2 linked regions of the Drosophila melanogaster genome follow. The protein of the gene in region 1 interacts with the protein of each later gene in a pairwise test. Each region holds a gene or a part of one and is shown in the gene's direction. Other genes may lie near its edges. The genes, in order: CG2218 and CG2120.

Region 1 (5,281 bases):
ACTTATACATCCGGGATAATCTGAGATTAGGAATCCCAATTCATGCAATTTATAAATATCAAAATTTAGATTTTAAGGATCCCCTACTTACAGGTTGAGTGGATGAGGCTCGTGGTTTCCGATGCAGGGATATACGGGTACATCTCCGAAGGCCGCGTTTAGCCGCTCACTGACCTTGGTCAGCACCATGGTGTTCTTCTCCACGGAAGTGGCCCACACCATGTGGTCCACTATGTCGCCAGTCTGGTAAATGAAGTCGCACTTGGAGTTGGCCACCGCGTTGTCCAAGGCTGACTCGAAGGCGTGCCAAGGCAGATCGCAGTCCCGGTAGTCGCCCCAGTATCCAGCTGCATCCGACGTACCCTCGGTGGTCTCCTTGTTCCTCTGACAGCACATGGGTTCCGCACAAGTGGCCAGGCTGCCGGGGGTGTAGTAGGGATCATGGTGAATGTCGGAGAACTGGCAGATCCTGATGTCCGAGTCCTGAAAGGTGGGAGTGTCCGACTTGGGGCCAGCCGAAGCCTCTCCAGTATTGTCTATAGTCAAGGTCCAATTGTAATCTTGATTTGTACCGGTGTTACAGAAGTTAAACTCCATGAACAAGGAGCAGAAGCTCTGGGAATCACTCTCGGAGTTCCTCATGATGTACTCCACGGAGGGCAGGTTGGAATCGATCAATCCCTCGCAGACCTCCTCCGTTTGCAGATTCAAGCGGCGGCACACGTCCATAGCGAATTCCTTCATCAGAACGGAGCTATTCTCCCCGTGGAGCTCGCCGTCCTCCTCGCGAATGGTGCGAATCAAAACCCGCGTCACCGAGCGACAGGCCACGCACGCAAAGAAGCTATCCCTGGGCTCTAGATCGGGCATGTTCCTGGTGAATATATCCTTCTCACTGTGCGACTTGGCCAGCTGATTGGTGAGCTTCAAGAACTCCGCCGTCTCCACTCCGGTCTTCAGGAAGGTGATGTACTCCCTGGCCAGACGCTCGGCTATGTCGTCTGCAATGGCGGACAGGATGTGGTCGTCCAGGTCGAAGTCCACGGGCACTCCCGGCAAGTTTACGGCGGAGACCACCAGGAACCCGGAGGTCAAGGCGATCGCCAGCAGGATTCCGATTGCTTTCATGGTTCGCAGAGCAACTGGAGCATAGTTTCCACGTGTGGGGCCATTTATAGCTTTCGGTTATCTCTCAGCCAATGGCCACCCCATTAACCAGGCCGGAAAACGCATTCATGGCAGAGATTAGCCTAATCTCGAATAGTAGAACTTTTATATGATTATATTTTTGGCATGAGAAGTGGCCACAATCTGCCTCCGGTGGGGCAGATTTCTAAATAATCATATCGCAAAAATTACCATTTTTGACCATTCACCACAAATAGGCAATTAATAAGTCATATTACATATTTCGATATAACTTTCCCTTTTTAACTAGATACTTTATGATTCAAAGAAGCCAGAGCCTATAGTGTAAACTGATGAACCTTATCATATCTGCTTTGCTAATTTAAGTATAAATGATAAACAAAGTTCTTGAGATCGTTTTTGCTTATTGAACAAGAAATCAAATTAAGTATACACTTTTTCAAAATGTAAATGAATATAACTCAACCATAGCAATCGTGTTTTTCATTGTTTCATTCGAAACGAAACAGATTTCGAAAAGGCTTGCATTATACGTTGAAACAAATATTTTAACTCATTCAATTTTTGCCGCCCAAGCGAATAGGTGTTACCGTACGCGAGTACTGAGCGAAGTCCATCTGACTGGTCGCACCACCACTACCGCCCGGGCATGGTCACACTGCACAAGCGAGTGATTTATAAATATTCGAAGAGGCAGGGCGATAATTGCAATTGAAGCAGCGTTGTGAGATGCCAGCCGAAGTCCAGGCCAGGCTGTGAGTGTTCAGGATCGGCTGAGAGCAGGAGCGCACCCAGTGCGGGATTAGCAGGGGATTACCAGGCAGGATTAGCAGCCTCCGCAGGCAGACGCAACAACAAAAGATTCCCGAGAAGTGACGCCATTTTCATTGCGAATAAAGAGCAGGTGGGGCACAGAGTAGATATACGCCGTGAAGAGCCACATAACAGCAGCCGAGAGTATAGCACAGTGGGCAGCCAGGATGAGCAGTCTGATCAACTTCCTCAACCCAAAGCTTAAGCCCTCCGTAGAGACCGATGCCGTCTGCGAGGATGGCTACACTGCGGCCAATCTGGTGGCCGACGACGTCGAGCAGCTGGAGCGTGGATTCATGTGCTTCGCCGTCTGCAAGCCGCCCATAGAGATCGTATTCGACTTCCCCAAGGCGGTGGACATGAAGGTCATCAAGCTGTGGCCCTCCTGCGGAGCCCTACGATCCACTGCCTTCGAGCTGCATGGACGACACGATGGTATCTGGGAAAGGGTTGCCTTCGTACGCGATCTGGGGCGTGGCGTGGACTCGGTGACCTTCTGCTACCAGAGCGACTACAACTCACGGAGCAGCTCCAACTCGGAGCAGAGCGAGAAGGTGTTCTTCTTCAAGTCCGCCCACAAGATCCTTGCCAGCACAAACAGCGTCAAGGTGGTGATCCGGGCCACGGAAAGGTGTCCTCCAGTGCTGAGGAAAGTTCAGATGTGGGGACTGCCCGCTCGTTCGCTGGACAAAGCCGATCGCGAGCTGGTCAAGACCATCTGGAGCGAGATAAGCGATCCCTACGGCCAGAGGGACGCGGCCCAAACGCCCACCGGGCAGAGATCACCACCGCGGAATGTTCCAGAGCTCAGGGACCAGTCGACCCTCTCTATTCCTGAAGAGTTCCTCGACTCCATCACCTGGGAGCTAATGGTAAATATCAGAAAATCCTAGCTTTTTATGTTTAAGTAGTAGTACAACTGAATACATACCCATGTCAATTCATGAAATCAATCGTTTTGCACGGTTTTATTATTCATAATTCTTTATAATCTTTATGAATCAATTATCATGTCTTTATCAAAACCAAACAAGGTAAATATCGGAAGTCATGTAAAGAATTCATTTTCTTCATAATGAGAATTGCATTATAATGTCCGAAACGCAACAACACTTAAATATAAAGATAATAGGATGCTCTGTGAACTGTTTACTTTGTAGCTCTCCTTATCAATTCTCCCATTGCCTCTTCAGATCTTCCCCACCGTGCTGCCATCTGGAAAAGTGGTGGACCAGTCCACCATCGACAAGCACGCCGAGGAGGAGGCCAAGTGGGGTCGCCAGCCCTCGGATCCGTTTACAGGCCTGGAGTTCAATGCGCAACGCAAGGCGATTCTCCACCTGGCCCTAAAAGCGCGCATCGAGAAGTTCCTCATGGAGAATTCGGAGCACTTCAAGGCGGTGCCCCGTTCGCTGGGCACCTCTCGCCAGCGTCGTCGTCACGCCTCGCAGTTCGCCAGCAGCACCTGTCAGCCGGGACAGATTAGTCCGGCTGCCGGAACCTATTCGGCACTGAGCAACGCCTACAAGCAGCAGCAGCGGAAGAGCAGGGCCACTGCCACGGCCACATCCTCATCGGCGGCATCCTTCGGCGGATCTCCGCACTCGCCGCCGGCGGCCAAAAGAGCAAGGCACAGCCAACACGGTAGCGCCTGTGCCACGGTGACCTCGGCCACAACCTCCATCGATCAGGCCATTCAACAGGCGCTGCAGAAGGTGACGCGCTTTAGCCAATTGCCATCGAACTCCAGCGCAGGCTCGGGATCCTCAAGTGCTCCGCCCGCCAGCTGCATCAACTGCCGGAGTGCGCAGTTCGGCTACGAAATCCGCACCTGCCGACATCTGGTCTGCCGGGAGTGCCTGGTGCTCCTCTCGCAGGATCAGCAGTGCGTGTGCAAAGTATTCTTCCGCTGCGCCGACGTCGAGCGCTACCACAAGCTGGATCCTTAAGAGCTTCCCCGTACATCTCCCAATCGACCGCCTTCCGTCGATTGCCGCAATGAGTTTGGTTCTCCCCATCCGGTTCAGTTTGTAAGCCAGTCAATCGCTTTAGCCCCTAGGCCTCGTCTACGTTAGTTTATAGTCATATCAGAGTCGGTCTGGTCGCAGAATCGCAAAATCGCAGTTAAGCCAAATGTGTACACGCGCGAGTCCCTCCCGATTCGGCAGTATGTATCAGTATCAGGTCACGTTTAGTCATAGAGCAGATTACGGATTACCGATTAGCAATAGAGAGTGCGCGCCTAGTTTTTGTAGACACTTTATATACAGTCCCCGAAAGACAGGATCGTTCAGCGCGAGTTTATATATTCATACCAATTCTACCTAGAATAAAGTACAATAAAACCTAAGTCCAATGTGTAATCAATGGAGAGTAGTAGCGATATATTCCACAGTTTGGCATTCATTGCGTTTTTTAAACTCGTTTAAACAAAATGTGTTTCTGTTAAGTTGAAATTGTCGAAAAGCTTAAAATTTTAAATTAGTTTTAGTTGTAATTGCTTTATTTGTACCGGTTATTGTTAATTTTGAATCGGAAATAATTGTGCATAATTTTATGCAATGTGTATTTTTTTATCACTACTCTCAATAAATATAAATAAAACAAAATAGTGGTTTTTAATATGTTTACATTTCTCACTTAAGAATTATTTTTTACGTTATATATCAAAAAAATCTAATTTGTTATTTTTTACATAATAATTTACATTCTCTTCATGGTAACCTACATTCCTTTGTGGCGCCCTCTACTGTCACTCTCTTAGTACTACTCCTTTCGCGTGTTATCGATATCGAAGAGAACAGCTGATTACACATCTGTTCTGCGATATTTCAAAATCCTTTTGGTTAGTACGTTTTTTCTAATTTTTAATGCCTGGTGAGGCAAATAACACGCCTCAATCCGGACGGAGACCCCGACTCGGATTGAGTAGGCGTGGTTGCCAGTCAACGCCCTTAATAAGACTTCAGAGAGACGATTCCGCTGCAAATACACCAAAATGTAGTGAACAGGAGACTCCGCGGGCACCGCCTTTATCGCTGAGCTCTCGCAGGATAGGATTGTCCAAAAGCAGGACAGGCTTGTCCAAGAAGAAGCTAGAGTTTGCTGCGGCCCACGGAATTAAGGACGAGGAACGGGAAATAGTGAAGAAAACAGCAAAAAAGGATAAAAAGGAAAGGAATGATGCTCAAGAGGCTCTTGATGCGCCAGAGGAGATACAGGAGCACGGCAACCAGAAGAACCAGCTTGAAAACAGTCCACAGAGCAGTAAAATCGTTGAGCTACAGGGCGATATAGAAATCTGGCGGCAGGGATTCAA
Region 2 (3,983 bases), on another chromosome or scaffold:
GAATCTTTACAACACGGGCAAGCGGAACATAGCCCGTCTTTCCTCGGACATCTACAAGCTGCACTCCAACATCAACGATATGGAGTCGAAGGCGCATCAGGCGAGGCTGAACAATCGCGAAAAGTTCGATCGCATCTGGGAGATCAACTACAAGGAACTGAACCTGCTGGTGGATCGGGTCTACCACATCGATCGCATCATACACGAGCAGCAGTTGGCCATGCCGTGGTCCAGCCCCGTGCCACCCATTCCAAACATCAACAAGGCGAAGAAAAAGCGCAATAACATTCTGGAGAAGTTTGACATGCGAATTGGCCGGGTTCCCAAGAACAGGGTGATGCCCAACTCGGGCGTAAATTGCAAGCCGGATATCAAGGAGCTTCCGCCGGATTCACTACGCTTGATGCGTAATCTTATTCGCAAGCTGTCCGATCGCGGCGGTTTCCTCATCGAGGAGCGTCTGCTAAAGATTCTTGAACCGTATTCCGAGGAGGAAAAATGCCTGGTACGCATCGACAATATATTTGCGGCGCTGCGAATTCGTCATCTGCGGGATGTCAAGGAACTGACCAAGGTTTTCATGCCGTACACCTACTGTCCGAATTGCCAGCCGCAGGGATTGAGTCCACGCAAGTGTGCCGAGGTGTTCATGAAGGATCAAAAGCCAAATCGGCTGCAGGGCGCGGCGGGTGGCCAACCGGATGAAAAGGAGCATAGGTCGACAGGGGATACATTTCTACCCAAGAGCGAGGTGGCGGCCAAGAGATGTCACAATCACTATCTGGTCATGGAACCGGCCCTCTGCCTGCACGCCATGAATCTGTTCACCTCCAAGATGCACAAAAAGATGTACGAACACGAACCGGGTAGCATTCTCAATGCGGTAAATCTCATTCAGATTACAGATGCGGAGATCCGTAATTTCTGGCGCCAGTTCTCGGCCTGCTTCCCGGCCTCCAAGTGCAAGCTGTGGAAGACACTGGAGCACGGACTGAATCACTACGTTGAGGTGCTCAAGATGCGTGTGCAGTACGATGCGGAAGTCGTCTTTCTGCGTCGCCAAAACGAAGAGTTGCGCCATCTGCTGCAAAAGTTCACCGTCTAGGTGCGATATTATTCAATTACAGCCTCAACCGCAATGCACATACATAATCCCAAGCAATTATTGTCCGATTTCACTGCAAACATGATAAATTATAATTGTGCCTAGGTCTTGCTCTTTGACATTGACATCGAAATAGTTTAGAGACGTGGGGTCCCTGCACGGGCGCCATCTGAAAAAGCTTGTTTCATTCAAGAGTCGTGCAATAAAAGTATATTTTGAACATGAAAACCTTGTGATTTTAAATATTTAAAATAATGGAACCCCTCAAAGTTAAATATTACTACGTCTATAGCTCAGTTTGTCCCGCTCTAAACTATGAACAGCTCTCTGATATCATTATTAGTGCCTAGCATGAAAAGAGCTCTTTGATAACATTTGTGAGGGGTTTCCCCTTGAGTCCTTAAATTAATCTTAATACCATATCTTTGAGATAAATATGACTTGTATTTGCTTCATAAACTTAAAGTACCCATCCATCCCCTTTAGAAATATTCCCAATGCCGTCCATGCCGCTCTCTGGTCCACCAAACTGTCGATCTCAGATGTTTGATTTGCTTTTCATTTCATTTCGAACTTTGAGTCCGTGGGAACTAGTTGGCGTTAGATGATCTCTACGACGGGGAATACCTTCGATCGCTTACCTCCCACAGCTACCATTTCACTACTGGAAGCCAAACGATTAGAACTTGTTGCACTTGTGTCTTATGTGTCTTATCAGGGCAAACCGATAAAGTTGAGCGGTAGACAAGAAAATGGTTATACTACATATATATGAAACCACATATTTAGGGTAGTCCACGAAAGGGATCGTCCAATTGGCTCAAAGTGCGCACCGCCAGCGTTTAAAGTGCAGACCGGGCTAATCATTCATTTATGGGCAAACTTTATGGACGACATTTCGATAAAATAATAATACAAGAGCAACCGCAACAGCTTGTTCTATTGAATTTCATGGCAAGCAACTACAACTGCGACCTGTAATAATATACTACATAATTAAACACGGCGTAATCTTATCGACGCTCGTTCGGACTCCATTGGCATTGCCGTCTATTTTCCTGCGGTAGCGGAAGTCTTGATCGTCAGTTGGCCAAACAACAGCAGTCCGAACGGAAGCGGAGGACCATCATGCGATCCATAGATCCCGTATCCCAAATGGCAAACGCCACTTTGGCGGACGACGATCTGGGTAACTATGACGTTTGCCTCGAGGATTTGCAACTGTTTGCCCAACTGGAGGATCTCTCCGGAGAAAGATTGCCAATGGAGATGGAGCTGCTGAATCCGGGCTCGGAATACGATCTATTGGAACTTGTGAATGGGGTGAGTTGACGGTCCAAATGGTAAATTGCACACTATTAATGAATCCATAATCAATCTCCTTCATTCAGGCTCTCCAGCAGCGAAACACCACGGAACATAAGCCAACAGACATGTGCAAGCCCAAGCGGACACCAACCACTAAACGCCACCGAACAACTGGCAAGGATCACACCTGCGACATATGCGACAGAAGATTCTCGGAAGCCTACAATCTGCGCATCCACAAGATGACGCACACGGACGAGAAGCCGCATGTGTGCGTGGAGTGCGGCAAGGGATTCCGGCAACTGAACAAGCTACGCATCCATGCAGTGACCCACACGGCGGAGCGGCCACACAAATGTGATATCTGCGGCAAGGGTTTCCGGTATGCCAACTACCTAACTGTCCATCGACGCTTGCATACGGGAGAGAAACCATATCCATGTTTGGCCACCGACTGTCATCTCTCCTTTCATTCCATCCACGCGCGGCGCATTCACACAAAGCTAAGGCATGCGGCACAAACGGATCCGGATCCCGAACATCCGCTGGCGGAGCAAGAGCAACGGGATACATCTGCGCTCAGCTTCACCTGCCCGGTTTGCAGCCGGGTCCTAACGGATCAGTGCTATCTTAGCATCCACCTGAAGCGGCACTACAATCAGCGCGACTTCCCATGCCCACAGCCGGAGTGCGGCAAGAGATTCTTTAGTGCCTCGGAGCTGAAGCACCACCAGATTGCCCACACCCAGCAGCGACCATTTGCCTGTCCACTCTGTCCAGCACGATTTCTGCGCAAATCCAATCATAAGCAACACCTCAAGGTGCACGAGCGTTGACAGCTCGAGAGCACTTTGATTATGTTAGTATACGGTACGATTTCCCTGTCCATTCGAATCGAATTCCAGGCGAATCCGAGACTCGCCCCACCCTAAGCTGCCCCCCGGAAGGGGGCTTGGTCTGCGCTTTCCATTCAATATAAGTGTTTATTTATATATACGATTCTGTTTGTCTTTATCTGCATGCTTGCATATTAGATATATGTATATATTTGTATTTATACTTTATAAAGTTACGGGTACGGGGTTGCTGGTTCTCTGTGGTTGTGTCCTCGGAGGACTGTTGACTGTTGCTGTTGCATGTTCGCCTGCATTGCTTTGTTTCGTTTAGGCATAACTTAAGGATTACATTACATTATTTGCGGGCTTAGCCGGAAATACGAAAACAATTGTTTGATTAAAAACAGTGATTAGAGCCAATTAACAAAACACAATCTCGTTCGCGGTCGTTTATTCGATTGATTGACAATCAGGACTAAGTGTCTTAGCACTAAACTGCACACGTGAGAAACTTAAAAGCAACAAAGGGGGCAAACAATAGACAAAACTTAAATTAAAGTTTCGCCGGAACCAGAGGACAAGTGCGCTAGGCAACACTGCCCGCCACGCACCATTCACTGCCCAACACTGGCCAGGCGGTACAGTTATTTTTGGTCGTAACAGCGAAGCAATGGGCAAAAAAAAACAAAAGAATTAAAAGAATCAGCAAATATTGACGTAAAAACAATTTGAAC

What was found.
Region 2: the proteins of CG2218 (region 1) and CG2120 interact in a two-hybrid assay, tested with the Drosophila melanogaster proteins (one large-scale study listed by BioGRID).

The regions. Positions count from the first base shown.
Region 1 is NT_033777.3:30,424,689-30,429,969, reverse strand, and holds CG2218 (uncharacterized protein), read left to right. Parts: upstream 1-1,693; 5' UTR 1,694-2,129; coding exon 2,130-2,834; intron 2,835-3,155; coding exon 3,156-3,911; 3' UTR 3,912-4,543; downstream 4,544-5,281. Other genes in the region: CG15533 (uncharacterized protein), read right to left, coding at 92-1,128; CG15536 (uncharacterized protein), read left to right, coding at 4,833-5,281.
Region 2 is NC_004354.4:8,133,639-8,137,621, forward strand, and holds CG2120 (uncharacterized protein), read left to right. Parts: upstream 1-2,185; 5' UTR 2,186-2,233; coding exon 2,234-2,428; intron 2,429-2,496; coding exon 2,497-3,249; 3' UTR 3,250-3,408; downstream 3,409-3,983. Other genes in the region: CG10958 (uncharacterized protein), read left to right, coding at 1-1,105.